Linked DNA regions of Coturnix japonica. The protein of the gene in region 1 purifies or fractionates together with the protein of each later gene. This does not show direct contact. Links are inferred from orthologs where the notes say so. Each region holds a gene or a part of one and is shown in the gene's direction. Other genes may lie near its edges.

Region 1 (10,014 bases):
TGTCCCTTGGATCCAATGCCTCCCCCAGTGTGCTCCAGTGCCCCCCCCCGGTGCTGCTGTCACCCTGGGGTCTTGTGCCACCCCTGGACCCTCAGTCCTGCTGTGTCCATACCCACTTGGACCATCATCCCTCCAGGACCCGTTCCAATATCCCCCATTGGGTCCCCTATCCCCTCTTTGGGCTCAGTGTCCCTTAGTCACAGTTGCTCCTTACCATGACTTGTACCTCCTCCTGTGCCCTGTATCCTTTAGGACCCCATAACCCCCAAGCCCAATGTCTCCCTTGGTCTAGGGATCCCCTGGAGCCGACCCCAGCCCCACGCAGTGCCCCCTACCCAAGACCCCATAGGGATACCCGGAGGCGGAGCCTCACTCTTGGCTCCGCCCACTTTCACTCAAGCCACGCCCCCTTTCATTCAAGCCACGCACCCAGCGACACGTGTCGTAAGCTCCGCCCGTTTCTCTTAGCCACGCCCACTTTGCGTTAAGCCCCGCCCCTTGCGTTAAGCCCCGCCCACAACCGGTCCCGGTAGCGATTTCCGGTTCCGGGGCGCACTGAGGTGAGTGTCGGTGTCGGTGTTTCGTGGGGTCTCGGTACTTCCGGGGTGACCGGGAGATCCCGGATCGTTCCCGTCGGCCATGGCGAATCACCTCCGCTTCATCGGCCGAACCGTCATGGTGCAGAACGGCAACGTAGATGCGGCCTATGGGGCGCTGAGCAGGTGAGGGGCTGAGGTTGGGCCTGGACGGGGGGCGCTGAGGGGTGGGACTGAAGGGAGTTCATACCCCCCCCATCCCCTATGTCCTCCCATTGACTTGCATTGGCTGCTCTATAGGAGCTCAGGGCCCCATTTGTGGCCTTGGAATGGGAGATTCCTATAGGGCATCTATAGGGCATCTCCTATATACTGCCATCTGAATGAGGCCTCGATGCTCTGCCCTGCTGCTCATTGGGGCTGTGAAGTCAAGGAAAGGTGATTATGGCCATAAAGTGCTGCCCCAGGGGCATCCCTATATGACTATGTGCTCCATTGTACTCTATGGCACATCACAGTGCATCCCTATATGACTATGTGCTCCATTGTACTCTATGGCACATCACAGTGCATCCTATATGACTATGTGCTTCCATTGTCTGCTATTGGGCACATCAACAGTTGTCACACACATTGATATGTGCTGCCTGTTACTCTATGGCATCATACAAGTGCATCCCTAAATTATCACTATTGCTCTCTCTGGTAGAACTTAGGCGAACATTCACTAGTGCATCCTATATGGACTTATCTCCAATTTAACTCTATGGTACTCACAGGTGCTTCAAAAGTGCTTCAATTTGCTGTGGGGTGTCATAGAAGCTTCCTATTGGGACCCTTCTGTTTGGTCTCAAGCACCCTAAATTGCACCCAGAGCTCTCCAGTTTGCTCTGTAGCCAAAAGGTGCTGCCCCAGGGGCATCCCTATGTGCTCCAATGTACTCTATGGTACATCACAGTGCTCTCAGAGTGCTACATTGTGCTGTGGGGTGTCCTAGAAGCTTCCTATTGGGACCCTTCTGTTTGGTCTCGAGCACCTTAAATTGCGCCCAGAGCTCTCCAGTTTGCTCTGTGGCCAAAAAGTGCTGCCCCAGGAGCATCCCTATGTGCCTGTGTGCTCCAATGTACTCTATGGCATGCCACAGTGCTCTCAGAGTGTTTCATTGTGCTGTGGGGTGTCCTACAGGCTTCCTGGGGGCCTTTTGGAACCCTTCTGTTTACTCTTTAGCACCCTAAATTGCACCCAGAGCTCTCCAGTGTTCTCTGTGGCCAAAAAGTGCAGCCCCAGGGGCATTCCTATGTGTTCCAATGTACTCTATGGCACACCACAGTGCTCTCAGTGTGCTACATTGTGCTGTAGGGTGACCTACAGGCTTCCTGGGGGCCTTTTTGGATCCTTCTGTTTGGTCTCGAGCACCTTAAATTGCACCCAGAGCTCTCCAGTTTGCTCTGTGGCCAAATAGTGCAGCCCCAGGGGCATCCCTATGTGCTCCAATGTACTCTGTGGCACATCACAGTGCTCTCAGAGTGCTACATTGTGCTGTAGGGTGTCCTACAGGCTTCCTGGGGGCCTTCTGGGACCCTTCTGTTTACTCTCGAGCACCCTAAATTGCACCCAGAGCTCTCCAGTTTGCTCTGTGGCCAAATAGTGCAGCCCCAGGGGCATCCCTATGTGCTCCAATGTACTCTATGGCACGCCATAGTGCTCTCAAAGTGCTTCATTGTGCTGTGGGGTGTCCTAGAAGCTTCCTATTGGGACCCTTCTGTTTGGTCTCAAGCACCTTAAATTGCACCCAGTGCTCTCCAGTTTGCTCTATGGCCAAATAGTGCAGCCCCAGGGGCATCCCTATGTGCTCCAGTGTACTCTATGGCACATCACAGTGCTCTCAGAGTGCTTCATTGTGCTGTGGGGTGTCATAGAAGCTTCCTTTTGGGACCCTTCTGTTTGGTCTCAGGCACCCTAAATTGCACCTAGAGCTCTCCAGTTTGCTCTAAGACGCTCTGCAGGCTTTCTGCTGATCCCAAATGCCTGACAAGTGCACCCTAAACAACTCCTAGAGCTCTCACTGCTGTTTTGGGGTCTTGTAGCACAATGCTGGTGTTAGGTTGCTTCAAGGCCAGGCTTTTCCTATGCAGCCCCAGGGCCATCCCTATGTGCTTTAATGTATTCTATGGCACCTTCCTCCTTATTGCAGCCCACTCTTGGTTGCATTCTTATGGAGTCAGAAGCACTTGCAGAGCTGCAGTGACTTCAGCTTCCAGCAGCAGAAGGATTGCTTTGAGTCCTTGCAACCTCACACATGCAGTGAGGAAGAACGAGAACAGAATGCAACAGCTGTAAAGTTTGGGAGCAGACAGCAGATCTTTGCATTGCGCTGCCATACTCAGGGATCTATGCAGGGCTCGGCATGGAGGAAAGAAGCTCATTTATTGTGGGGTGGGCGAGCAGGGAGAACAAGAAGTGATAATGAGGTTTGATCTTGTAATGCAAAGCTTCAGCAGGCAGAAGGGGCAGCAAAAGGGGGAGATATAAAGGCTGGATAAAGGACAATTAGAAGCAGAAGGGTCAGTGAAAGGGGGAGATTTATAGGCTGGATAAAGGCCATTAGAAGCAGCTGGGCTGTGTTAGGAAGTGGCCATGAGGGAGGAGAAAGATGTTGACCTGCAGAATCAAACTCTATAATCCAGAGATGGGTTATAAAGCAGGTATGTTTATTCCAGCATTGCGTAGCGCCGGGTGCAAGGGGGATAGCTCCACCAAACATGCACACCGACTTGTAAAATCATGACACAGATCTAGGTACACTTAATACATAGTCAATGATTTCTGATACATATTCAATGATTTCTTAGACTTCTAATACATTGTCAATAGTTCTAGGAATTCTGATACATATTCAATAGCTCTTTAGCATGCAGACCCCCTCTTGTTCTTATCAGGGGGAATGCAACTCCTCATCCGTGAGGTCTCACTCCTTATCTGCATCCTCCCTGCTCTCCCATAGAATCACAGAATGACCGGGGTTGGAAGGGACCTCAAGGATCATGTAGTTCCAACCCCCCTGCCTGGCAGGGCCACNCAAGGATCATGTAGTTCCAACCCCCCTGCCTGGCAGGGCCACCAAACATACACCTTTACTAGATCAGGTTGCCCAGGAGACCCCATAGATCCCCATAGAGACCCCATAGATCAGGTTGCCCAGGGCCCCATCCAACCTGGCCTTGAACACCTCCAAGGACGGGGCATCCACAACCTCCCTGGGCAGCCTGTTCCAGGCTCCCAGGCCCCTTGTTTCTTTTACTTGTTACCTTTAAGTTTCTTTTACTTCTTTCTCTAAACTACCTTTAAGTTTCCTGCTTCACTCTTCAATGTGACTCATGTTCTCCCCCCACAGGATCCTGTCTCAGGATGGCATCGTTGAGTCAGTGAAGCAGGGCCGGTACTACGAGAAGCCGTGTCGCAAGAGGCAGCGCTTGGCTTATGAAGCGTGCAGGCGTGTGTACAACACTGAGATGGCCCGCAAGATCTCCTTCCTCGCCCGCAAGAGTCGCATGGACCCATGGCTGGGCTGCTAACGGGGTTACAGCCGTCTGTCCTCATGGCCGTCTGTCCTTTGGGTGCTGCTGCTGTTAATAAATGCTGTGTGCAGCGCTCTGCTTCGGCCACGCTCGGGTGTTGCGGTTGGGGGTGGGGGGAGAAGCGCTGGGTTTTGGGTTCTGGGTGGCGTTAATGGGCCGGGCTGGTTCCGCTCGCCCCCACGTGGTTATTTCCCGCCACGCGGGGCGCGCCTTTTCCACCGGTTTCCCGCGCTCTCGTGTCACGTGAGCAAAGCGCGCGGCTTCACTTCCTTCCTTCCATTCTTTCCCGGCAGCCCTCAGGCGGGCGGGACGCGCATGCGCAAAAAGATCCCCGCAGCCATTTCCGCTTCCGCCCCGACGTGCCGTCGCCGTCAGGCCCGTTGTCGCCGTCCGGGCCCGGGGCCTGCGGGGGCCGCGCCCCGCCGCGGTGAGAGGCCGCGGGGAGGAGGGGAGGGAGCGGCTGAGGGGAACGGGGGGGGGAAGGACCGTGAAGGAGCGGATCTGAGGGGACTCGGGGCCCGGCCGTGACGCGGGGTTGCGGGGCGAGGCCAGGCCCCTCCGCTTGGGCCCAACGGGAGCGTTGAGTTGATGCGCTTAAACCCGGGGCTGAGGTTGGGGCTGAGGTTCGGGGTTGGGGTTCAATTAACTCATAACGTTAATTAGAGCCGCTAATTGAAGAGGATCCCTTCAGGAGTTGTGGGAGCTGCCGGGGAACCGAAGGGCTGCGGTTGTTGTGGTCTCAGCATCACGTTAACCGTGTTTTGGGAAGCACCGGAGGGATGTTGACAATAGAAGGACACGGGGAAATAGTTTGGAGTTAAAAGAGGGAAGATTTAGGTTGGATGTTGGGGGAAGTTCTTCACTAGGAGAGTGGTGAGGCCCTGGAACAGGCTGCACAGGGAGGTTGTGGATGCCCCGTCCTTGGAGGTGTTCAAGGCCAGGTTGGACGGGGCCATGGGCAACCTGATCTGTGGGGTCTCTATGGGGATCTATAGGGTCTCTGGGGTCTTTATGGGGATCTATGGGGTCTCTATGGGGTCCATAGGGTCTCTGTGGGGTCTCTATGGGGGATCTATGGGGTCTCTGGGGTTTCTATGGGGATCTATGGGGTCTCTGTGGGGATCTATGGAGTCTCCTGGGCAACCTGATCTAGTAACTGTGTGTGTATGGTGGCCCTGCCAGGTAGGGGGTTGGAACTACATGATCCTTGAGGTCCCTTCCAACCCAGGTCATTCTGTGATTCTGTGGGGTTTATGGAGTCTCTATGGGGATCTATTGGGATCTATGGGGTCTTTGGGGTCTCTGTGGGGTTATTGGGGGTTATATGAGGTTATATGGGGTTATGGGGTCTCTATGGGGTTATGGGGTGGATATGGGGCCTCTATGGGGTTAATGGGGTCTATTGTGGGTTGGAACTACATGATCCTTGAGGTCCCTTCCAACCTGGGTCATTCTGTGATTCTATGGAGGGATGAGGGTCAGTGGGTGCCTCCATGTGGGTGTTACCTGCCCGTTTTCTGCTCCTCTTACGCCCTCAAAGTCCCATAGAGCTCCCAGCACCGACGGCTGTAGGAGCGGCCCAATGATACTGATATGGGGGGGGGAGGGAAATACTATTGGAGCGGCTGCTCTTCTTTCTCCGTCCTCGTTAATTGCAGAAGTTGAAGAGGAACGTGAAGTTTAAGCCAAGTGTGAATTAATCCTGTTTAGCCTTTCTGAGCAAGCATGCAGAAAGCTGTAACGCATCAGCAGTGCTGATATGGCATAGTAATCAGTTATCTTGATGCATCTTGACGCTCAATTAACCTCACCTTGAAGTATTACCTGCTTCCAAGCCTGGACTTAATGATGAATTACTGTAATGATGCCCCTTTGGGCTGTATCTGATGCTCCTTTTTAATGTATCTCATTGAAACCTGCTGTAAAAGAATACAGGGCTGCAAGCTGTGTCCAGCCTTCTCCCTATGGATCATTAGGAGCTTCCCAGCTGATGCTTCAGCCCCTTTGCTGCTCTTTCAGATCCTTCTCTTGGCTGTTTTTCAGTCTCTAACTTGAGAAGCTCTTTGTTACCACATCCAGGATCTTTGCTCTCAGCTTTAGTGATGATAAGTGTATTTTGGATGCTGTTTGCTCTCATTTTAAGGTAAAGGCTCCACAAGGTTTCTCCCATGGGCATGAAATGTTGAGGTCAAACATATTTCCTTAAGAAGATTTTCTCCTGTTTCCAGATAAAGGAGACTTGGTTTCCAAATCAGATTAGTGCCTGGCTACGTAATTAAACATTATTGCATCCGCTTCATTGCAGCTTGTGTTAAAGAACTGCTAACGATTAACGGTGGGAAATTATTGTCTTGAGTCTGATTTGGAATTGGATTCAGTAGGAGCCAACAGGGCAGCAGTGCTGATCTGCTGCTTCATTTAAGCAGCAAACACAAAGGTAGTCAGGCATGTGCTGATTGTTAAGTATCAGTAAACCTAAATGAGATTGAGTTCCCCCTGGTCATTATAAGGGAGGCAGCCTAGAGCTGGGAGTGTGCTCGGAGTTGTATGGGAACCTTATGGGAATGGGAAGAACTCGAGGTGATCCAAGTGTGTGTGAGATGTTGCTGTATGTGTTTAAGGTGTTGTTGTACATGAAAAGCTTCTACTTGTGCTCCTGGAAGTGGTTTGTGGGGCATCTCTAAGTGGGCTGGCGTGAGTGTAGCTGACAGCTGATTCAGGCTGTGTTAGCAGGAGAAACCACGGGCTGAAGCAACACCAAGACCAAGCTTTTCTCCTCCTGTGTGTGAGAATCTTAGAATTATAGGTTGGATGTTAGGGGGAAGTTCTTCACTAGGAGAGTGGTTAGGCCCTGGAACAGGCTGCCTAGGGAGGTTGTGGATGCCCCGTCCTTGGAGGTGTTCAAGGCCAGGTTGGACGGGGCCCTGGGCAACCTGATCTGTGGGGTCTCGATGTGGATCTGTGGGGTCTCCTGGGCAACCTGATCTAGTAAATGTGGATGTTTGGTGGCCCTGCCAGGCAGGGGATTGGAACTACATGATCCTTGAGGTCCCTTCCAACCCGGGTCATTCTGTGATTCTGTAATCTGTGTGTGGAAGTGGATCCTGATTTACAGCAACTGGAACATGCTTGCCTTGCATTCTCCCAGTTCCCTTAAAGGAAGGGTGCTCTTGTGCTGGTCGGGGTTAGGACATTCTGCACTTCATTTCTGCATAAAACCCATGAGCAGAGTTTCTCTTCTCACAGTTTGATGTTGCATCTTGTCTGTTCTTTACTCCTGTGTTGCTCGTGTAATTTTAGCACATGTTTTAAAAACAAGGGAGTAAAAATAACCTCCAGGAGTTTTCACCAGCTGCAAGCCCTGTCTTCAATGCAACAAAACAACGATCATCTGATGCTTTGTCTTATTAATCTCTTCTTGTCCTGTTTGCTTTCTTGACAGGTACGAGCAAGAGAACTGAGCTCAGCTACGAGCAAAAATGTCGCTCTCCAAAAGGGAATTGGATGAGCTGAAGCCATGGATCGAGAAGACAGTGAAACGAGTGCTGGGTTTCTCCGAGCCCACTGTGGTCACTGCAGCACTGAACTGTGTTGGGAAGGGCATGGACAAGAAGAAAGCAGCTGGTATGTCACACAGCCCTGAGCTTGTGTCGGAAGCAGTCAGGCCCTTTGGCAGAAAGAAATGTATATAACATGCAGACAAAAACCAGATTCTGTTATGAAATGAAAGAGTGTGTGTTGGCATCCCCCATTTCTAGACACTGTGTTATGTTTGAAGCGGCCTCAGATCAAGTTTATGCTCTTTCCCTCCATCTATGGGAGGCTGAGCCTGTGCTGCTGGTGTGTAAATGCATGACAGGTTGTGGTTTCATTGCCACTCAAGGCTGTCAGTGTCTGGGAGATGGATGCCATCTGTGTTGATCTGGAGGCAGATTTGTTCAACACAAGCTTTTATGCTTAAAACCAAAGCTAAACAAACCCTGGAGCTCTCACATTCATCTCTGTGCACAGTGATAGGGGTAACAACTGACAGCCTCAGTGAGGCAGAGGTAAATATGTGCAGGTGAGACAAGTTCAAAAGCTTTGGGATGTACTGCAGAAACTTAATCTAGTGGAGGTCTGGACTCCAGTACAGTGAATTTAAACTCCTTACTGCAGGATGTCCTTTTGTTTGCCCTTTTTCTTAACTCTGGATGTCAGCATCTGCAGATCCCAGAGGCTTCCTGAGCCCTGATTGCAGGCTCCAGTGCATTAGTTGGGTTGAAGCTGTGTTTAAATATTGTTTTGTGGCTTTGCAGAGGTCTCTGTGAGTTCTCCCACTCATCCTGAGCTGTGAATTCTGCCATTGACACAACTTCTCTTCTTTCTCAGACCATCTCAAGCCCTTTCTTGATGACTCCACCCTGCGATTTGTGGACAAGCTTTTTGAAGCAGTGGAGGAAGGGCGAAGCTCCAGGCACTCAAAATCCAACAGTGACCGGAATCGAAAGCGAGAGCTAAAGGTGAGTCCAGGACTGATTATTGATTGTGGTTTATTGTTGTTTGGTGGCTTTGGAGGCAGCACTGGTACTCTGTCACACTTTCCTCTTCCAGAGAGGTACATCTTGTAATGCTTAAAGTTCAAGAGAAAAGACCCTTCTCCATGATGAAGTGTGTGAGCCTTTACCTTTCAGTTCTCTTTGCCTTCACACCAGGTAGCAGAACGCTGTCCTTGGTGGTGTCCGAGGTGGAAGCCTGAGCTTTTGGTTTCTTTAACAATCTCTGCTAGGCTTGTGCAACGAAGAATCTCAGATAGCAGGGCTCCATATCTGCTTCCTCTCCTACTCATGACTGTTGCATTTGGCAGTATTGACTCTTGACTGCCTTGCAAATTGGGGTAGTGTGTCCCACCTCACAGTAACTTCTCATTCCTCTTCCTTGCTCTGATGAGCAATGTTTCAATCTGCCAGCTGACGGTGCCCTTTTGCAAGTGAATGGGTGAGTGATCTGATAGGTTTTCATTCTCTTTTCCATCTGGAATCCACAGAGGGCAATTGTTGGCAACTTCTTCCCCCGCCACCATAGCATAAGGCTGATTACAGCAGGGATGTAATAGTTCTTTGGTGTTTCTCCCACCTAACGCTTGTCTGGGATGGGGAAGGCTCATGCATCCAAACCTGTTTTCACTTCCTTTGTTCTCTTGAAGACTTTACTGGCCACCTTCTGGAAATCCATTTTTTTCATCACTCGCATACTGAGTTTAAAAGTGGCTACTCTACATGCTGCTCCCTGCTTACAAAGTAAGTTTCCTTTGACTTTTTCTCTGAGGTTCCTATGTTATGGTAAACTGTATTGCTCTGTAAGTTTGTTTAGTCAGCACCTGAGCTCAGTTATAATCCTTTTCAGGTTTCAGTTTATCCCTCCTCAGATGTGTTGGGAGACTGCTGCCTTCGCTCCCCATTTTCTATTAGAAACTTGTTTTTTTTCCTCTCACTCTCTGAAGGGGGTTTTAATACCTGCCAGAGAAGGGCCTCCTCTGGATCTCAGATACATTCATCCTTTAAAGAACAGTGTGTTTAAGCAGTTTCTATCCTGCCTGTTTCAGTACAGCAGCAGCAGTGCAACCTCATTCATTGATCTGGAGAGGGCTGGATTTTGGGTCTCCCAGTGAATGTTATAGCTTAAAGGACTACAGGTTTCTGCAGCTTTCTTGAACAGTGATGCCAATAAGCATCTACCAAATGTTTCTGTTCTGTGGTTCCACTTTAATTTGGGTTTTAGCCTGGTACACACACTTGTCATGCCACGCTGCCACTATAAAGCAAGATTTTGACTAGGCTGTTTTTCTGCTAGCTGTGCCCCCTCAATGCTTTTGCTTTTGACCTCTTGTGGATATGGAAGAGAGATAGTAACATCATGCA
Region 2 (10,014 bases), on another chromosome or scaffold:
ATCATCTCTGGCTGCACTTTCCATTTGCACTCAGGTGCAGAGCCTCGAGATGTCCCTTAATGCTTATTACTGGAGTCCCTTTATTATTGGAGTCCCTGCAAAGGCACTCGTTGTTCCCTGTGTTGCAGCACAGCAGGGGGATGCTCCCAGGGCTCAACTTCTGCATAACCCGATGCTCTTACATCCAGCCCAATTGCACGCAGCTTTTCCAAGTCTCCACCTGCTGCTCCTGAGGTTCAGCCCGGCCCACAGCACTGCAGAGGGCAGCAGGATCACGACACGGAGCTCTCAGTCCTGTTTTTGCTCCATTGTGCTTTACAGCTTTGTTCTCCCCATCGTTTGTGACTGCTCTCTAATTGGCAGTAGCCTGGGCTTCATGGGGCCTCTAGGAATGAGCAGCGCCTGTCTGGAGAAGGACAAAGAGAAGAGCAGCCCAGGAGGTGCTGGTGGCAGTGGGTGATGCCCATGTTCACAGAAGCCTTTCTGAATGGAAATGGCTTTGTGTTGAAGAGAGCACAGCAGGGTTAACCCTGCGGCACAGCAATGCCAACAGGCAGAGCATCATCCTACAGGAACACCCTAAGCCAGAGAAGCCCAGCAGCTCCCAGCAGGAGGGCAGGGATTAAGGGGAAGCTGGAACTGGCACAAGGCCGGCCCCAAAGCTCCTGGCACCAGGGCTGAGCCTTTGTTGGAGGACAGTGAGTGCTGGAGCTCGGCTCAGTCCCTCCTCCTCTGCTCCTGCTGTTACTCCCATGGCTGCAGCAGCATCGGTGCACAAGGTCACAGTCTGATGGCTGCCCACGTGGCTGCGGGAGGGCAGGAGAGGTGGGAATGTGCAAAGAATTCCCTTAAAAAAAATCATTTAAAAAAAAAAAAATAGTCCCATTTGGCTAATAAATTAAAACGTCAGTTGGTCGTTGCTGGGGGGGGGGATCTGCCACTGTTCCTCTTGGGGTGCAGGTGGGTTTGACCCCTCCAGAGTGGAGCCTGTGGAATTAATTACTGCTTGCGACTTGCCAGCTGGAAACGGGCTTCCTCCGAGATCCCAAACTGCTCCAGGGGGTCCTGCAAGGAGAGCAAGGGGAAGTGATGGTGAGACATGGGCAGGGGGAGCTGGGACAGCAGCAAGGCCACAGATCCAGCCCGACCCCAGCAGCCAACTGCAGGGACTCACCTTCCCTGTCATCTTCTGGATCTCATTCCGGTAGAAAATCAAACTTCTTCTCATGAACTCGTAGCTGTAAGAAAAGAACAGTGGGCTGAGCAAAAAGGAACGTGGGGAAGTTTCTGAAGTGATTTAGAGCCAAAGGGAAGATTGGCCAGGTGGAGGGAGCTGCTTTCCTCCCCAGGTTCACCCCAATTGATCCCAGGAAGCAAACAATGTGGAGCTGCAGTGGATGTGCAGCACAAAGCAGACCCTTCTCATTGGGGTTCAGCCCACCTGGCTCTCTTGAGCGCCTCAATCCACTCCTGGCACTGCTCTTCGCTGTCGCACTCGAAGCAATACTTCCTCTCTGGCTCCTCAATGAAACCTGCCAAGGAGAAGGAGAAGGTGTGAGGTCCTGGCAGAGCTCCTCCTCCTCAAATAGGCTGCAAATAGCACCACTGTTCATCTAAGATGAACTAAAAACCAGGTGGGAACCCAGGCCTTTGTCCCCTCCATCTTACCCTGTAGTCTTGCTCCTAACTATGGCTTGGAGTCACACTCTTTCTCTGCCTGCTAAGAGCAAAGGCCGAGACAAGCCTGCCCCTGTACACTTGCAAATCCAGCTCAGGAAGCTGTTTGCTGATAGAAAGGCACTGGAAAAAACACAACAGCCACTCCTCAACATTGCCCTTCCCTTCACTGAGTGCATAACCATGCAGTTGTGTTAGAGCTGTATGGGAGTGATGGTGGCCCAGAGGTGCACCTCATACAGCTCAGCAGCCTTCAGCATCACTCCTGCCTGGGAGAGACACTTCCAAAGGCAACACCAACTGCAGAGGCAATTCTGCTTTGTGTTTCCCAGGTGCCCTGAGCAGCTGCCTGCAGCTCCTGTCAGCTCAGAGCAGCCAAACACTTCGGAGGGGAAAAAGCAGCTTCTCAAAGAGTGACAGTTTTGGAGCTGGGCTGGGCAAATGCAGAATGAAACACCCTGAGCCTCCTTACAAACCGTCAGGGGAGATTTAGTAACCAGAGTGGAAAATGGCCCCGAGGAACAGATTGTGTGGTGTGCAGAGGGCGGCCATCCAAGGAATGAAATCACACTCAAAAGAAGGTACTGACCTGTCTTTGCTGGAGGCTCTGGGGAATTCAGTACTGTGCACAGCAGAAAAACAACTCCCTGCGCAACTCTTAAGTCTTTACCAAGACAGAATCAGGACATCTAATTAATTAACATCATCCTCAGAGCTCTGCTTTTTAGTACACAGCGCACAGAGATGGGGGGAAATAACTGGGTCAGGCTGCACCCAACCCCTCAGAGCTGCTGTACGGGACATAGACCGGCTCCAAGCACCATCACATTCAACACCTTTCTTGGGAACCTCTGCTCAGCAGAGCTCTGGTAATGCTGAAGCCCCACACGCTCCCGACTGCATTCAGACTGCGTGGGATGGGCAGAACTCCATCTCTGCTGGCTGGGAGCGGGGAGGTGGCTCTGCACTGAGAAGCAGCTGTGCCTGACTGCCAGGCCAAAAGATACGGGGATGGCCTTGGAGAAACATCCTGTTATTTTTGCCACATACCTCTCGCACAATGATTATTTGTTGGGATGAAAGGCCGACGCAGAGCGAGGCAGCTGGAGCCACGGCTATCGACACAAGGACACAGCACGGCGGGAGGAGTGCTGCCCCATCAGCACCACAGATGCTTTATCTGAAGCCTGCTTGTGGTTTTGATAAGGTGCAACAGCACAGAAGCAGCAATCTGTCAATACTGAGCCCTCCTGAGAGGGACAGCTATGAGCACTGAGCTGTGGGCCGGCTGCTTTTCCTGCCCCTCTCTTCATACACAGCCGTGCCCATCATACCAACAGGCAGACAGTGCCATCCCAGGGCTGGAGCTTGGCAGCTCTGCACCAACCAGCAATGGATGGGGAGGAGGGTTGGGAAGCACAGATAGAGAATGGGAAAAAGCAGGAAGAAAGCAGGAAACGTTTCCTTCTACCGAGAGCCATTGCGAGGGGAATGCAAAGGGAACAAAGATACAGAACTCACTGATGGAGAAAACGTTCTCCTCTTCTTTGGTGATCCTGCAGTGCTCCAGCAGCAGCGCTCCAATGGGCTGGAAAAGATAAAGAGAGGGGGCTCAGCACACTCTGTCAGAGCTACAGTGTTCTGAACCCATGGAGCTTACAGAGTGTCCTCTAAAGAGTCTCTGTGTGCTCACAATCAATGTGGGTTTGAGTATTCCTTTCTGTCCCGCAAAGGCAGCGATAAAGTTTACTTCCTTGCAGAGTAAATCGAACAAAGATAAACTGTTTAACATTTGACTTCCTAAGGGCGGCCTTCGAGCTTTGCAGGAGGTTAAAGAACAGTGTGTGTGGATGAAGAACAGCTCAGGACAAGGAAGCAGTTGTAGGGACAGGCTGCCAGCCAGCACATACTGAGCAAGGACATGAGAACCACAGGGTGGAATGAGCCACAAATGAAAACCTCTCGCTTTTTGTTTAGTTTGGACATAGGATTTCAATGGGGGGTTGACTGTGAATCAGGCAGCAGCCGTTGGTGCTGAAGCACCTGTTTGAGGGCCAGTTTCCAGTGCATCAGTTCTACGTTGGCAGTTACCCACAGAAACAAGAAAAGAGCATTTCTCAGCACAGAGCTGAGCCGTGATCGGGGTTAAATATTCATTATAAAGGTTATTCTGTGCTGATTCAGGATCTTTAGAACAGGAGGATCTTTAGCAGCCTCGGTTTTATGTGAGGTCTGTAACTACACGAGACAGAGTCCAGCTTTTGCTGCTGTAGGGCGATGGTTGTGTTTGTAGAAAGCAGCAGGGTGTGGTTTGCTGGCACTGCTTCTCCTCACCCCCACCGAGGAGCCTGAACTGTGCAGGGGGAAGGGAGGACGCCGTGTTGCACTGATCCACAGAGCACACGTGATAAACGTGAAGCAAAAAGGTGCGTGTGTGTATCTGTGTGTGTGTGAGGAGCAGCAGGATCCGAACCTCAGCTTCATCCGTCCTGAAGTAGAAGAGAAAGTTCACCACGAGCTTCACGAGGCGCTTCTTTAACACTGAAGAAGGAAAGGAGTGATGTGACAGCGAGCCCAGCGTGTGTGGGGCCCCCAAACCATCCCAGCACTCCCAGCATCTCCATTTCCATCCCAGTGCTTCCACCCCAGGACTTCCATTGTCATCCCAGCGCTCCTATCCCAGTACACCGTTCTGATCCCTGTGCTTCCATCCCAATACTCCCATCCCAGCACCTCCAGCTCCATCCTAATACCCCAATCCCAGCACCCCCAGCTCTGACCCAGTACTCCCATCCCAATACCCCCAATTCCATCCCATTACCACCATCCCAACACCCCCAGCTCTATCCCAACACCCCCATCCCAATACCCCCAGTTCCATCCCATTACCCCCATCCCAATACTCCTGTCCCCACCCCAACACCCCCAGCATTATCCCAATACCCCCATCCCATTACCCCCATCCCAATAACCCCAGTTCCATCCCATTACCCCCATCCCATCATCCTATCACCCCAACACCCCCATCCCCATCCCACCCCCAGCTCATATCCAATACCCCCATCCCAATACCCCATCCCAAACAAAACCCCAGCTCTGCCCCAGCACCCCCATTCCAACAGCCCCATCCTAATACCCCCAGTTCCATCCCAATACCCCCATCCCAACACCCCCAGGCTCTATGCCAATACCCCATCCAATACCCCAGTTCCATTCCCAATACCCCCATCCCAATTACCCCAATTCCATCCCTTACCACCATCCCAACACCTCCAGCTCTATCCAACAACCCCCATCCCAACACCCCAGCTCTTGCCCCAGCACCCCCAATTCCAACAGCCCCATCCCAATACCCCCAGTTTCCATCCCATTACCCCACCCCATCCCACCCCCACCCCATTACCCCCATCCCACACCTCAATCCATCACTCCCCATTCCCACCCCCAATTAACCCCCCCATCTTCCACCCTCACCCCCTTCCCACCCCCCCCTCTACCGCTGCCCCTTCTTGGGGACCCTCATCATGGATCTCTGCCGCTTTCTCTGCCGGTTGCCTGGACAGGACAGCAAGCTCCCGTTCGTTGTACCTCATGTCGGACCCCAAACGACCACCCCAACCCTACAAACCACCCCTAACCCTACAACCACCCCAACCCTACAACCACCCATACCCGACCCGGTAGTGCTCTATCCGGAACTAGAGGGGATGGAAGGGGGAGGGCAGAGCGCATGCGCCGGGAGCGGGGCTGAGCACGGCGGTATGGGGGATTTAGGGGGAGGGGATGTGGGGCTTAAAGGGGGGATATGGGGGAGTGAGACCCTCATTGAGGGGATGGGGTGGTCTGGAGGGGGGTCTTGGGCCCTGTGGGGGATTGTTTCGGGGCAGTGACCGTCGCTAAGGGAATAAGGGCCTGTGGGGCCTATAGAGCCTGTGGGGCCTATGGAGCTTATGGAACCTGTGGGGCCTGTGAGGCCTATGGAACCTGTGGGGGCTGTGGAGGCTGTGGGGCCTATGGGGCATGTGCAGCCTATGGGGCCTATAGAGGCTGTGGCATATGGGCCTATTTGGAGCCTGTGGGGCCTATGGAGCCTGTGGGGCCTATGGAGCCTGTGGGGCCTATGGAACCTATGGAGCCTGTGGGGCCTATGGAACCTATGGAGCCTGTGGGGCCTATGGAACCTATGGAGCCTGTGACCTGCACTGGAGAATGAGGGGGGTGAGGGGGCTTAGAGGGGTTCTTAGTGGAGGGACAGGACCCTCCAAAAGGAAACTGGGGGGCTATAAGTGGCATGGAGAGTTCGGGGGGTGTTTGTAGGGGGCTTTGAGGTGAGCTTTGGTGCTCGCTGAGGGAATGGGGGTGTTTAGAGGGGGGTGAGGGGGTGTCTGGGGGGTTGTGACCCCCATGTTAGTGGCTGGGGGGTGTGTGACCCTGTGTGAGAGGGTAGAGGTGGGCTGGGGGTGGTTTTGTCTCTTGCTGAGGTAATGGCAGTGCCTGGGCCGTGTCCTCGTGGCAGGGCTCAATGCGAGGCCCAGCTTAGGGCTGTGTTGTCACTTATGTGTCTTTTCTTCATTTTTCCAGACTTTTATTTTATTTTTCTCCTGAAGTCTCCAAAGCCCAGAAATCCCCACCATGGATTTTCAGCACCGTCCTGGAGGTAAAACGGGGAGTGGAGGCGTAGCTTCAGCCTCAGAAAGCAACCGAGACCGCAGGGAGAGGCTTCGGCAACTGGCTTTGGAGACCATTGACATCAACAAGGTGAGCCCCAGTCCTGCAGGCTACATGGGGTGAGGTCAGGGCTTCATCTCAGCAGAGAGTGAGAGGTTTAGTGGGGATCTGTGGAGTGGAATAAATACTTCTGTTCCCACTGATGAGGGACTCGAGCAACATGTGGAAGGGCCAAGCAGAGGGATACCAGCACTGGGCTTCTGTTATGTTCAGTCTTGGCACTGGTTCTTATTATGCTGCAGTTGGGTGTGCTGTTACCAGTGAACACAACTGCTCTTGTTCCTTTTTCTCTATATTCCTAAAGCAGTGTTGTGCTGATCCCTTCACTCCATGAGCTCATAGAGTTCTTACAGTGCAGCTCTGCTTTAGAATCTCGGTTGTTCAGTTGTTCCAATGCAGATTTTACATGTAACTTTTCAATCCTTCTCTTCCTAGGACCCCTATTTTATGAAAAATCACTTGGGTTCTTATGAATGCAAGCTTTGCCTGACGCTCCATAACAATGAGGTGAGTTGAGCAGCTGTCTGTCTTGATCTCCATGGCAGCAGATATTTTAGACTAATTCTAGCTCCAAGTGCTGGAACCGAAGCTGTTCCCGTTGGCTGATTGCTGGAGGGCCAATGGGGGGAGCAGAGGCTGTGTGTGTTAAGCATGACAAGTTTCTGACAGTTCAGCAGTTGTGAGCAATCTGAAATTTGTGAGTTTGATTCTGCTGTGCTCTGAGGATTAAAATATCTTTGTCAGTGTGAAATGTCACCTCTCATCTGTGACAAATATCTTTCTGTTCAGGAACAGTTCAGTCTTCATAACTTTCTTTTCCCCCCAGGGAAGTTACCTGGCACATACGCAGGGGAAGAAGCATCAGACCAATCTGTAAGTCATTCTCCACCGTGTTATTCTCCATTACTTGGGCACATTAAAATTAGATAATGAGCACCTATAAATCTTGGCCTCCATCATGTAGTAGCACTCTGGGCTTGAATGCTCTTTGTCTCTGTTTGTTTCCTAGGCATTCACCAGCTCTGCTCTGAACAGTGGTGCTGACAAGCTCCACTTCAAAGCCAGCTATGGCATTTAGATTAAGTATAACTGTAAGGGAAGCTGTTTTATGAATACAGCTTGAGAAAAGTTTGTAAGCTTTAATCTAAGAATTCAGGTTTGCTCTGCTTTAGATACCTGGCTTGTGTAATTCATTTCCTTTTTGACTTTTAAGAAGTCATCTCAGCTCCATCTGTGGAGCTGGACATCAAAGTCCTCTTAGGAGTGGGTGAGGTGATGGAGGTGACAGATTGTAGTCAAGGCAAGGAGTGGAACTGGCCTCCCATGGTGCTTGTGGAGGAGGAGCAGCAGTTTCCCATTATGCTTTCTGTGAAGTGCTGAATGCTCCGTCATACAGAACTCACTCTGCCTTTTAGAGTATCCTTCAGAACCAAGTGCTGATAACCATTTAACACTGCGCGTTTCCAATGAACCCAGGGCTCGTCGAGCTGCCAAGGAAGCAAAGGAAGCTCCTGCCCAACCTGCACCAGAAAAAGTCAAAGTGGAAGTGAAGAAGTTTGTGAAAATTGGACGACCAGGTTACAAAGGTTTGTCAGCAGTGCCTGTCATAGCAGATACCCCGTGGCTGCTGGAGCTTGCTTGAAGTGCAGTGCTGTGGGCATGAATTGTTCATCAGCCTTTTTAGCAGAGCTATCCATAAATAAGATATGGGCTTATCTCCTGATGTCCTTTATTGTTTAAATTACCCATGGGTTGTCTCTTTATTGCTGACAGTCGAGTGAGAGCCATTTTAATAATAGATCAGTACGTCTCAGTCTCTGTCAGTTCTTACTGTAGTCATATGGGAGATGGTGGCATTGCTTCAGTCTCTCTTTCCCTTTTATTGTGCTCTGCCATCTCTATTATGGCAGAGCAATATACTATTGCTCACAAGTCACCCACTGGATGTATAACTCAGTTTTTTTCCCCTCTGTTTCATTTTGGCCTTCAGTACAAGACATGGCTTCTTTATCTCCATGCATATTGTGTCAGTGTCTGTGCCCCACAGCAGCTGCATTTCAGTAGATACCCTCAGGAACTTTGGCTGAAGGCATTGTGGCATTTTATTTAATAAATAGGAAACAAAATCCTGTCATGTTTTGCTGTTTGGATCTTCCTAGGGCTGAAGTAATACTGTACTGACCTTTATGTAGTGTACTGAGCTTTCTTATTTTCTCTATAGTGACCAAACAGAGAGATCCAGAGACAGGCCAGCAGAGCCTTCTCTTCCAGGTAAGATCAGATTCTTGGTTTCTGGGTTATCCAAGTAAAAACGTGGCTAAATGAGCAGTCAGAAGCTTCCCTTGAATTCTTGCATAGCTGAAGAGTTTGTTCTGTATGGAGGAGTGTTGTAAACCTGCCATAATACCCCAACAGATCGATTACCCGGAGATCGCAGAAAGCATCATGCCTCGCCATCGCTTCATGTCAGCGTATGAGCAAAGGATTGAGCCCCCTGATCGGCGCTGGCAATACCTCCTGATGGCAGCAGAGCCCTACGAAACCATCGCCTTCAAGGTAATGTTTGGGACTGACTGATGGCAGGGAGAGTTCCCATATTTTCCAGGACATTAGTTCCCAGTGATGGCCGTCATAGACTTGTTCTGTTTTAGCCTTTGGGGAGGTTAATGGCCTGGAAAGGAAGGTGAAGAAGACACGACTGGAAGTTGTTAAACTCTGCTTGAGAATTACTGGAGGACTCTGGCATGAAAACCGGGCTCTGCGTTGAGCTCTGGGGAGCCATTGAATTCTTAGTGTCTGGAGCAAAAAGGATCCTCCTGGTCTCTGCTCTCAGCCTTTGTGCAGATGTTTAGAGGGGTTTTTTCTGCCAGCATTCTTGTCCTTGACCGATAGGGAAGTAACTCAATTCTTTGCTGCCCCCATCTCTATCTAATAACATCCGAGACGAGCGCATCTCACAAAGGCCTGGAATAACTGCTTATCTGGTGGGCTCTGGTGCTAAAAAGGGCCACTGAGCTAATCTGGTGCTGCTAATAATAGCTCCCTGTTCTTTTTTGTTGCAGGTGCCAAGCAGAGAAATCGACAAAGCAGAGGGAAAGTTTTGGACCCACTGGAACAGGGAAACCAAACAGGTAGCAGGAGCATGGCAGCATCTTTCTTAAGGGTTGAAGAGGGGGTGGGGGAGGGCAGAGCCTGGGGGAAAAGACCATGGAGTTCAATCTGTTTGGCTTTGGTGCTAAAATCATTGATGTGTGATGGCACAAAGTTGTCCTGAGAGCTGATCGTTCCCTTCTCTTTGCTTTTCTCCCTCTCCCCAGTTCTTCCTTCAATTCCACTTCAAAATGGAGAAGCCCCCAGCTCCTCCCAACCTTCCTCCGGGCCCTCCGACTGTGAAGAGGCCTCCTCCACCCCCGCTGATGAACGGGTTGCCCCCCAGACCCCCTCTGCCGGACTCAATGCCTCCACCTCCTCCAGGAGGGATGACTCTGCCCCCCATGCCACCAACCGGACCAGTCCCACCCCCTCCAGTGCCACCTCAGCTCCCCCCAGCGCCCGGTGTCCCTCCCCCTGCTCCTCTGCCACCCATGATGAGACCCCCCCTCCCCACAG
Region 3 (10,014 bases), on another chromosome or scaffold:
CTCCCAGTAAAGCACCGTTGGCCAATGGGGCCGGTGCCCAGGGAGAGCATGAGGGCAGGGAGGAAGAAGTCAGCAAGCACCCCGCTGAGCCCCCTCCCCAGAATCAAGATGCTGAAGGAGTGGGACCGGAGGCAACAAGCGCAGAGGGCAAGGAGGCCCAAGATGGCTCTCCCAGCACTTAATGCCAACCATGGACTCAGAGCCGGGCTCCTGGCTGCCCTGCTCACCACCCACCCGAACGTGGAGGCTCAAGGAAGCCCCGATGAAGCCCCACTCCCCCTCCTATGCCTCCCCCCGACCCCATGCAGCCATGGGAGGCCATTTTTGAGCCGCGCTTTGGGCTGATGCGGTGCTCAGTGCAGCCAAACCCATTGCTTGTGCTTTCTCCATGGGTGCTTTCCTTGGATTCCCCCCAAAAATAAAGAGAAAAGCCCAGGCTGGGTCTCCCCACCGTCCTTGCACAGCTTTCTCGCAGATGTTATTTTCACTCATTATTGCAACCTGGCCCACACCCAGGCAATAGGGCATGGAGGAAACATGACCCATGACTTCATGACTGCTGGTAGTACAGACCTTCTATGGGGGCCCGGGGACATTGCAGACCCCTTGGATTGATGAGGGGGTCAGCTGCTCCCATCCTCCTTTTCCAACCCCCAACCCTGCAGTGCCTGGTGGAGATTGGAGGCATTCTAGATGTGTTTTGGTGAGAAAAAGAAAGGGAAAACCTTAGCCAACCTTAGCAGGAGGGAAGAGGATGCAGCAACAATGACCCCGTCCTTTTGTTTGCAAGCCCTGAATGTCACAGACCCCTCAGAAAGCACAGCAAATGGATCTCAGAAAGGAGCTGGACTTTTGCCTTATTTTCTTAACCCCCTTTGCTATGAATAAAAACATCTACTATGCACATTTCTTCCTCTCATGTGTGTTTCTGGAGCTGTCAGGGTAGGCAAACCGTGGGCTCAGTGCCATCCTTCCCTGGCAGAGCTTGAGGACATGAGGATGGGCAGGGGAGTAATGCTCCCTACAGCTGTGTGCTTGCTGCTGGTGACGCTCTCAGAGCCAGGGGACACTGTTATCACTTGCACAATCTGCATGCAATTCTCAGAAACCCTTATCTGGTGTCAGCCAGCACTGTGAGTGGGGAGGGCTCTGGCCTGAGATCCTCTTTGGGGAGATGCACACAGGTTTGTTTCCTGATCTCACACTGGTTTGCTTTGAGAACTCAGACACGTGCTTTGTCCTGCAGCAGGGCGTGCTAATAGAAGGCAAGTGTCTGATGTACCTGGAAGGCAGCACAACCCTGTATCCTCATGTATGGGAGTTGTTAGGCCATGGGCTGAATCATTGAGCAGCTGGTGAAGGGGTGTAGTCAGCCCTGGGAGCACAGGTGGAAGCAATTCACCTGGGTCCACCCCTCCTTAACCTCATTTAAGGGCTGGCAGCCACAAAGGAAGCATCTCTACCTGGAGATTGGCTCCTTTGTCACATTTGATGAGCCCTGATCCTTGGAAATGGGGTGAGCAATTCTTTCTTTATTACTGGATTGTGACCACTACCTTTCTTGGGTTTAAAGCAACTGTATCTGCTGTCATCTATCCTTACACCTCACATCCTTTTACCAATGTCGCTCTATGCTTTTAATATATCCCCATTACTCCAGCTGACAGCATTTTGCAGGGAAACCAAAGGATTCCCCCAAACAGGAGTGACAACAACTTAAAATAATAACTCAAAAAATAATTACATTGCAGACAGAAACCAGAACGAGCCACTTATTTTTACTGAATGTTGTTTTTAATGCAGCTGTGCAACATCATAGGTATGAAAACTGGAAAGGAAGATAGGGTGGGGCGTGGGGTGAGGATGTTATAAGAGCAAGGGAGGTTTTTAAGTGCATTTTCTTTTGATTTGAAGATCTGTGGCAACACTCCCTTGGAAAACAGCCATCGCTGTGAGGCACAGGGGAGCACAGTGGTCTAAAGAACAGAGGGTAAGCCATGCTGTGTGGCCATAAAACGCCTGTTTTGAACTGACTCTGTGCCCCACGCTCCCAAGGAGCCCAGCTCATGTGGTGGGTGGGCAAATCCTCCACTTGGTGAGTGCTACCCCTGTGCTCTCTTCATAACTCACTCCTCCAGCGAAGCAGTTTGAGCAGCTTTAGCTGTGCACACAGAGCTGCTCGGGGGAGGTATCTGCCAGGCTGTGTTTTTGAGGTTTCTTTCCACAAATGAAGAGAATCCAGCCCTAAAACTACCAAAGGCAACAACAGAAGCTATCAGAAATAGCATCCAAAATCAGCTCCAGCAGCAGGTAAGGATCCCCTTCTGCCCCTGGCTTAGTACCAAGAGCACTGGCTGCTCTCTCTGCCCTGGAAGGGATGGGGGAAGTTCAGAAGACACCCCCAGAGGGCACAGGCTGACTCCTGCTCTTCCAGGGAGGTTCCCCTCAGTATTACATCCCAGTTAAGCTATTTGCATTCTGGGTTTGAATCCTCAGCGTGTGTTTAATCTCCCTTAACAGTATTTGGCAAACTAAAGGGTTGAATGCTTTTAAAAGATGCTCCAACATTAACCCTCCTGCTATTGGAGGATGTGAACACAAACATGTCCTGCTAACGCTGCTGGCTCTGAGCTTCCTGGCAACCAACTGCAGCTGCTGTTATTTGCTCACCTCCCACAGTCAGTGCCCTCTAGTGCCTGGTGAAGCATCCCAGCTCCTCCCAGAGAGCAGCGTGACGCAGGGGATAGACAGCATGTGAGAGGTCACAGATTGTGAAACCAAACTCCAACACAGCTGCAGCCAAACCACATGAGATTTATATATACTGTATTGATTGACAAAGTGACCCACATAAAGACCAAGGCAACCAAGTTTCCCACCAAACTCTTTGTAAAACATTAGGCAAAACTATACAGAAGAAAAAAAGTGCAGCCCTTCCAATGCTGGAACAGGAGGATTCTTTCTCTCTTGAGAAGCTACCGGGGGGTTGCCCTGAAGCAGAGCAGCCCTTCACTCTCACCATTTCAAAACCAATCCTGACAGGACACAGGCTGCTGAAATACCCACGTTCCAGTCATTTAAGCACTACCAGGGTGGCTGTACACACATGACCAGTGACACGTTGTGCGTTGAGTTGTGCGTATCTTACAGCTTCTTGAGTAGTGCACAGGATTCTATTAACAGCTAGAATAATTGCACTGCAAATTGAACTGGAATGAGGACAACCTCTACAGTCTGTTTAGGAATTAGTCTGCTTTCTGCTCTGACTCTCCTTTCTTTGGATCCTGTTTCAGTTTGTAGTCAGCCAAGGCAGCCTTGATTGCATCCTCAGCCAGCACTAGGGGAGAAAAAGAGCACAAAACAATGTCATTTACAAGCACTTTAAATAACAGTGACAAGTCACTTAGAACAAAAGATGCAGTACAAGCAGAAGCAGCCAGCAATAACCACCACTGTGGGTCAGCCTTAGCTGCTATGTGTGCAAAGCTTTATTTGGAGAACGTACAAAAGCATCTGTGTTCTCAAATAACAACGTGTTTGATGCTTTACTTACTAGAGCAATGCAGTTTGACCGGAGGAAGGCAAAGTTCTTTTGCAATGTCTGTGTTCTTGATTTTCAATGCTTCATCAATCTGAAATGTATGGGTAGGGTACAGTCATCAGTCAGGCATACACATGTACATATGATGCCCACACACCACGCAGGTATTTGATACAGGTGTGCTTCAAAGCACTGGAACCAACCAAAGTCACGCTCTGAGAAGGCAGTAAAAGCTGCTGATAGTGTTCTACCATAAGAAAGGCCTTTCAATAATACCTGTTTTATTCTGCTCCTGCCAAGCAACAAATCTGCAACCTACTACAGGGAACCTCCTTTGGCAGAGGAGCTGGACTAGGTGATACTCAGAGGTCCATTTCAACCCCTGATTCTATGAAATATAAGGAATGTCTCAAAGTGTGCAGTGCTTGTTAATAAACCAGAGCATTATTTTACTGCTGACCAACTGCAGGGACTGTTCCAGGTTTGTTCTGCTGTAATATAGAAACAACCTGCTTGTCACAATGCCAAGCACACGGAGATCAGCCAATGGAAGACATTCCACTATACAAGTGCTTTCTTTATCTATTTTCGATTGCTGTGTAGCACCCAAAGCTTCTTCACAGCTTATTGGAGACTTCCAGAAAAGGCAAATATTGCTTTAAAAGTCAGGAAAGATGAAACTGCATTCTGAGCTTCTATGTGAGTGTAACACCTGGAGAGCACCTCTCTAGACCCCTGTTTCCTTCCCTGATCCCAGCAGTGGGTGTGAATATGTACCTGCTCCCCACTGTGCCCCTTAAGCCAAGCCCTTACCGTCTTCCCTTTCACCCACTCTGTTGCCAAGGAGCTGGAAGCGATGGCAGAACCACAACCGAAGGTTTTGAAGCGAGCATCAACAATGCGGCCGTTCTCATCCACTTCCACCTGTGGGAGTTATCAGAGGGGCGCTCAGTTCCACGTAGGAACCACACACAAAGGGACAGCGATAGGACAGCGAGTTTAAGGCTGGGGGTTTATCGGATTTTAGGGCCTGCAGAGGGACTTTAAGGGACAATGAGTTTAAGGCTGGGGGTCTATTGGATTTTAGGATCTGCAGAGGGGCGTAAAGGGACAGCGAGTTTAAGGCTGGGGGTCTATTGGATTTTAGGGCCTGCAGAGGGGCTTAAAGGGGGTGTGACGGAGGAATCCTATGTCACAGCCATATGGTGGCAGACACTGATGGTTGTGTCCTTACAGGGCACCCCGTGCTCCCCTCACCTGCAGCTTCATAACGTCTCCACAGGCCGGGGCTCCCACCAGGCCCGTACCCACGTTCTTTGCGTTGCGATCGAGAGAGCCCACGTTCCGCGGGTTCTCGTAGTGATCCACCACCTGCGAGAACAACGTGTCACTAACAACCCCCAACGGGCACTATGGGCTCCCCACAGCCCTACCCGGCCCCTCTCACCTTCTTGTGGTAGCCCGCCCCCCCCACCGCCGTCGCCCCCCGCCCGGGCCGCAGCAGCGCCGCCCCCGCCGCCCTCAGCGCCGCCATCTTGAGTCTGCCCGCACCTGGCAGCGGCGCTCTGCCCCAACCCTCCCGAAGGACCCCTGGAGGCCGAGGCCCTGAGGTGTCCGTGGCGCTGCCTCTGCAGCAGACTAAATTATAAGGAGTAACGGGCCGAGCTGCTCGGCTTTTCGTGGCAGTTGGACGCGGAGAAGAGCAGAACCTTGTCGGGAGAGTTTATCGTCCTTTCTTTCACCGCTTTTGGCTGGGGGGAATGTACAATATTGAGACAGGCGCGCAGTAGCCAACCCCATCGGCTGGCTGAGAGCGGCCGGCAGCGAGGCGAGCTGCAACAAGATGGCGGCGGCGGGAGCCGAGGCGGCGGTGGAGGAGGAGAAGCGTGTGGTGGAGGGAGACCCCGAGTCGGGGGGGGATTCGGAGGATGAAGGCGACTCGGATTCATCAGGAGACGGCGAGGATGAGGAGAAGGAGAACGAGGCGGAGATCCAGCGGCTGGAGGAGCAGGTGGGGCCCGGCTGTACCGTGCTTTGGTTATGGAGATCTGGAAACGCCTCCGGGCGTGATGCCTTTTAATTCGCTTTTTATTCCTCGCTTCAGGGCGAGAGAGACTCAGGGAGCAGCCCTGGTATGTTGAAAGTGAACTCAGATGGTGGTTTCCTTAGTGATCTTGAAGGAATTAAAACGCGTTTGCTGAGGAGGGCTCACTGGGTGTTAGCGCTGTGTCTGTACTTGGGGGCTCTCGGGCCTTAGGGCTGTGAGTTCAGTCTTCTGCAGAACTTTAAAGCCCAGCTTTAGTAACAGGGATCTTCTATGAAGGGCTGCAGAGGTGGTCGGGGCCTGCAGCTTCTATTTGAGGAGCCCTGAGGCTGCCCTTGAGGCAGGAGGGAAGGCTGAGGGAGCAGCACTTGTCAGGGTAGAAATCGTGAAGATGGGGCCAGGTTCTTTTCAGCCATGCCCAGCTACACGATAAGGGGCAGTGGGCACAAACTGGAACCCAGGAAGTTCTATCTGAACGTGAGAAATAACTTCTTCGCTGTGAAGTTGACAGAGCCCTGACACAAGCTGCCCAGGGAGGTGGTGGAGTTTCTTTCTTTAGAGATGCTCAGGATCCACTGGGATGCTTTCTAATGCTACCTGCTGGGGGGAGGGTTGGACTGAGGGATCCTCAGAGGACTTTGCCTTTTCCTGTCACTTACAGTTCTGTGATTCTGTGTAACTGAGCAGGGAGGTGAATGTCTGTCTGTACTTGGCCCTGGTGAAGGCAAGGCATCTTAAGTGCTGCGTTTAATTTACTCACTACAGAAGAAAGGCATCAAGGCCCTGGAGCATGTCTGGAGTAGGGCAGCAGAGCTGTAAAGGGTTTGGAGTACGAGCTATATGGGGAGAGGTTGAGGGAGCTGGGGATCACAGAATTGTAGGATGGTTCTCCACTACTCCCTGAAAAGAGGTTGTAGCAGGGTGGGAGTTGCTCTCTTCTCCCATATAACAGCGATGGGACAAGAGGCAAAGGCCTTAAGTTATACCAGGGGAGGTTCTTGTTGAGTATTGGGAATGACTGCTTCTTCAAAAGAGCAGTCAGGAATTGAGACAAGCTGTCCAGGGAGGTGGTGGGATCACCATCCCTGGAGGTGTTCAAGAACTGCAGGGATGTGACACATAGAAAACAGTGTGTAAAGTTCTGTTCTGCTGAGTATTTGCTGACTTCTGCAAGCCTTTAAAAACTTCCTTTATTTTCTTTAAAGCTTTCCATCAATGCTTTTGACTACAATTGCCACTTGGATCTGATAAAGCTGCTCCGCCAAGAGGGAGAGCTGGTGAAGCTCAGAAGAGCTCGGCAGAAGATGAGTGAACTCTTCCCACTTACTGAAGGTACAGAGCTGCTTCTCCTTGCAGCTGGTAATACTGATGAAGCATCATCAGTGTGAAATACTCTTTGTGCCAGGTTTCAGCCATGCTGTTCCAGCCTAAAGGATCAGATTGAAGCTCTGAACTCAACTTGAAGCAGGCCTTTCTTTTTATTTATAGTTAACACTGTAACAATATAAATACCTGGCAGTGGGCTTTTAGCTTTGGCAAGTGAAGGTTTCCTCTTAGGCATGTGGGAACCTGCAGCCTCTAAAGCCATCTGCTGTTTCTTGTAAAAAAGAAGGAAACTGTGCCACTCAATGCCTCTTTGCTGGCCTATGTGCATTCTCTGTGCATGGTGCTGACCAATTGCTGCTCACAGCTTCATCTCTCTTTAAATAGAAGCATACTTGCTTAGGACTAGGTTGGAGACATCAGTACCAAACTTTTCATTTAAACTAATTGTGTGTAGATGCGGGGACTTAAAATTGCTCTTTTTCTCCCCATTTTCTCTATCCCCATTTTTAAGCCTGTTATTAAAAAATAACCAAAAATGTAAAGGGAAAAGTTTTTTTCCAAGCGTTGGTGACTGTAAACTTCTTGGTTTCAGAAATCTGGCTGGACTGGTTGAAGGATGAGATAAAAATGGCTTCTGAGATCTCAGAGCGAGAGAAAGTTTATGAGCTGTTTGAGAGAGCCGTGAAGGATTACATCTGTAAGTTCTTAATGTGTGGGAGTTAAAAAAACATTTAAAGGTCTATTATACTGAATAGTAAAGACAATTTCTATGCCTTTGGATAAGTATTTGAGATGCCTTTGTATTTTCGAGGACATCAGCTCTCCTGTTTCTCATAACTTTGTTTAGGTCCTGAAATTTGGCTGGAATATGCCCAGTATTCAATCGGTGGCATTGGTCAGGAAGGAGGAATTGAGAAAGTTCGCTCAATATTTGAGAGAGCATTGACAGCGGTTGGGCTGCACGTGACAAAAGGAACAGCTCTGTGGGAAGCGTACCGTGAGTTTGAGAATGCCATCCTGGAGACAGCACAGGTAAGGCTGGTCTGATGGGCTGCTGTCAGTTAGAGGCTGTGGTGGAGCTTCCGAAGTCACCTTATGCTGCTTATCAGTCTCCTTGGAGAAATGAGGCTGTGGTGTCACTCAGTTGTTTCTTTTCAGCTGTAGAGACTGACTGTTTGGACTGAGAAAAATGTTCTGTGTTCTGTAAGAGTGGAGGTGTGTTAAAATATGTTCATAAAACCTCACAACCAGAAGCAAAACTACTCTACTTCTTTAGCTTGTACTGACAAGAATAAGTAGCTTCATTATTAAGCATTATTATTCATTCTAGTGAATACTTTTGCCCATAATCAGTGATGTTTGCGTTTCTAGGCTGCCTTATGCCTCAGTGTTGAATTTATTCACTGTTTCACCCTTTTTGAAACATCAGACTTTGCGAGATGACTAGAATGTCAATATTTCTGTTTCCTTGTAGCTTGCTACATAAGACGTGAAAGTTGGTCAGTATTGAAATGCCCATGCAGAGGAGTAATGGGGGAATGCTCTTCTGCTTGTAAAAAGAAAAGAATTGAGTTTTAAAGCATCTCTGCAAGCATCAAGGATTTATTGAAAACCTATCTGTAGGTTTGTGAATTGGAATGATCACACACTGTTCTCCAGGTTATCATTTCCCAGTGTCTGCTTTCACTGGGGGATGCTTTGTACTTTCGTCAGCTTCTGACTAGCAGTTTCCAGGTTTTAGCTTTAGCAGCAGCCACGTGAAATACAAGTTGGCCATGTGTGTTCTTCAAGGATCATGTAGTAGTGGTTTGGAGCCCAGATCACCAACCCGTAAACAATACCCCCTTGTGTCCATCAACTCAGGCTTGAGGGGGCTGATTAAATTTCAATCCTTTTGTTTGCAGCCAGCTCCTGGCAGCGTTCCGTCGCCTGAGCAGCAGCAGATGCTCTGCAGCCAGCTTGAAAGGATCCACACGCTGTTCAGGCGCCAGCTGGGGATCCCACTGTTAGGTGAGAGCCTGCGTGCTTGGGGGAGTTGGCGTGGATAAACTGTATTATGGCAAAGTAGGCATGAATTGTGATTATTCTTTTGGTAGAGCCACACAAATTGCAGCTGTTGGATTTGAGTATTCATGGATCAATTACATTTGCCTGCCTTTGGGGCCCCTTGAATGATGCACATTTCCCGTTTGTTCGGAAATATTCGTAGTCATTGAAACTTTGTTTATCTGTTTCCATGCTGCATAGTTTGAGGTCATTCAGGCTGTTTAAAGTACAAGTAATTAGCACAAAGCATGACCCTTAGGAGCTAGGAATTCAGCTGAGAAGCTCACTGTGTACGAGCATTGGCTGATAGGTAAATGATACATGCTGACAGCTGGATTGATAGTCCTGCTGTATCAGTTTCATACTTCAAACTCCTCAAGTCCCTTTTCTTGCTTCTTTATCTGCATACAGGAAAAAGGTCTTAAACTTCCTTATTTTTCCATTGAAAGCATCTAGGTTGGTTTCTTCTTTAAAGCCCTGAGAAAATCTTGCAACTTTGGTTTTGTAAAGGAAAAGCTAATGATTATGAGCAACTTGTCCTAAGTTTTTGTTCAAATTACACCTATAAGCTGAATCATTTAGTCATATGGTAGTCTGACAGTTAAGGAATAAAACTATAAACAGAAACGTGACCACGTTAGAATCAAGCAGAGATTGAATTCCAATTATTTAGTCTGTTGAGTGCATTAGTGATGCGATTTCGTGTCTTTTTTAACAGATATGGACACATCATATGCTGAGTATGAGGAATGGTCCGAAGATCCAATACCAGAAACAACAATAAAGAGCTACAAAAAGGCTCTACAGCAATTGGAGAAGTGTAAACCATACGAGGAGGCACTGGTATGTTGTTACTTATACATTCCTTTAAAATTAAGAATTAAATCAAAAGCTGAAATGTAGTTCCCAGCACTAAAAGTGACAGAGCTGCTGAAATGTAGAGGCCAAGTTCAAGTTTGGAATGTTGTGCAGGACCTACTGAGTCAGTTGAGCTGTTTGAAGCATGCTTTGTTTAGAAGACTTCTATTTTTCATGTCCTGTAGCTGGGTGCTGAAAC

Evidence for each region.
Region 2: the proteins of PRPF3 (region 1) and SF3A2 purify together in Homo sapiens (affinity purification with mass spectrometry; 3 studies listed by BioGRID and IntAct, with this or other methods). This does not show direct contact. The link is inferred for Coturnix japonica from reciprocal best matches to the Homo sapiens genes PRPF3 and SF3A2.
Region 3: the proteins of PRPF3 (region 1) and SART3 purify together in Homo sapiens (affinity purification with mass spectrometry; 5 studies listed by BioGRID and IntAct, counting the BioPlex papers as one, with this or other methods). This does not show direct contact. The link is inferred for Coturnix japonica from reciprocal best matches to the Homo sapiens genes PRPF3 and SART3.

The regions. Positions count from the first base shown.
Region 1 is NC_029540.1:1,891,225-1,901,238, reverse strand, and holds the start of PRPF3 (U4/U6 small nuclear ribonucleoprotein Prp3), read left to right. Parts: upstream 1-4,414; 5' UTR 4,415-4,541; intron 4,542-7,556; 5' UTR 7,557-7,593; coding exon 7,594-7,738; intron 7,739-8,485; coding exon 8,486-8,616; intron 8,617-10,014. Other genes in the region: MRPS21 (28S ribosomal protein S21, mitochondrial), read left to right, coding at 640-722, 3,931-4,111. UniProt on the Homo sapiens protein: Plays a role in pre-mRNA splicing as component of the U4/U6-U5 tri-snRNP complex that is involved in spliceosome assembly, and as component of the precatalytic spliceosome (spliceosome B complex).
Region 2 is NC_029543.1:1,222,780-1,232,793, reverse strand, and holds the start of SF3A2 (splicing factor 3A subunit 2), read left to right. Parts: upstream 1-5,379; 5' UTR 5,380-5,436; intron 5,437-6,258; 5' UTR 6,259-6,309; coding exon 6,310-6,435; intron 6,436-6,840; coding exon 6,841-6,912; intron 6,913-7,231; coding exon 7,232-7,278; intron 7,279-7,881; coding exon 7,882-7,991; intron 7,992-8,626; coding exon 8,627-8,676; intron 8,677-8,820; coding exon 8,821-8,961; intron 8,962-9,467; coding exon 9,468-9,536; intron 9,537-9,722; coding exon 9,723-10,014. UniProt on the Homo sapiens protein: Component of the 17S U2 SnRNP complex of the spliceosome, a large ribonucleoprotein complex that removes introns from transcribed pre-mRNAs.
Region 3 is NC_029530.1:5,664,882-5,674,895, reverse strand, and holds the start of SART3 (squamous cell carcinoma antigen recognized by T-cells 3), read left to right. Parts: upstream 1-5,129; 5' UTR 5,130-5,384; coding exon 5,385-5,552; intron 5,553-6,790; coding exon 6,791-6,917; intron 6,918-7,503; coding exon 7,504-7,608; intron 7,609-7,758; coding exon 7,759-7,943; intron 7,944-8,815; coding exon 8,816-8,921; intron 8,922-9,675; coding exon 9,676-9,800; intron 9,801-10,000; coding exon 10,001-10,014. Other genes in the region: TMEM119 (transmembrane protein 119), read left to right, coding at 1-182; ISCU (iron-sulfur cluster assembly enzyme ISCU, mitochondrial), read right to left, coding at 3,246-3,337, 3,554-3,632, 4,355-4,465, 4,799-4,912, 4,989-5,075. UniProt on the Homo sapiens protein: U6 snRNP-binding protein that functions as a recycling factor of the splicing machinery. Promotes the initial reassembly of U4 and U6 snRNPs following their ejection from the spliceosome during its maturation.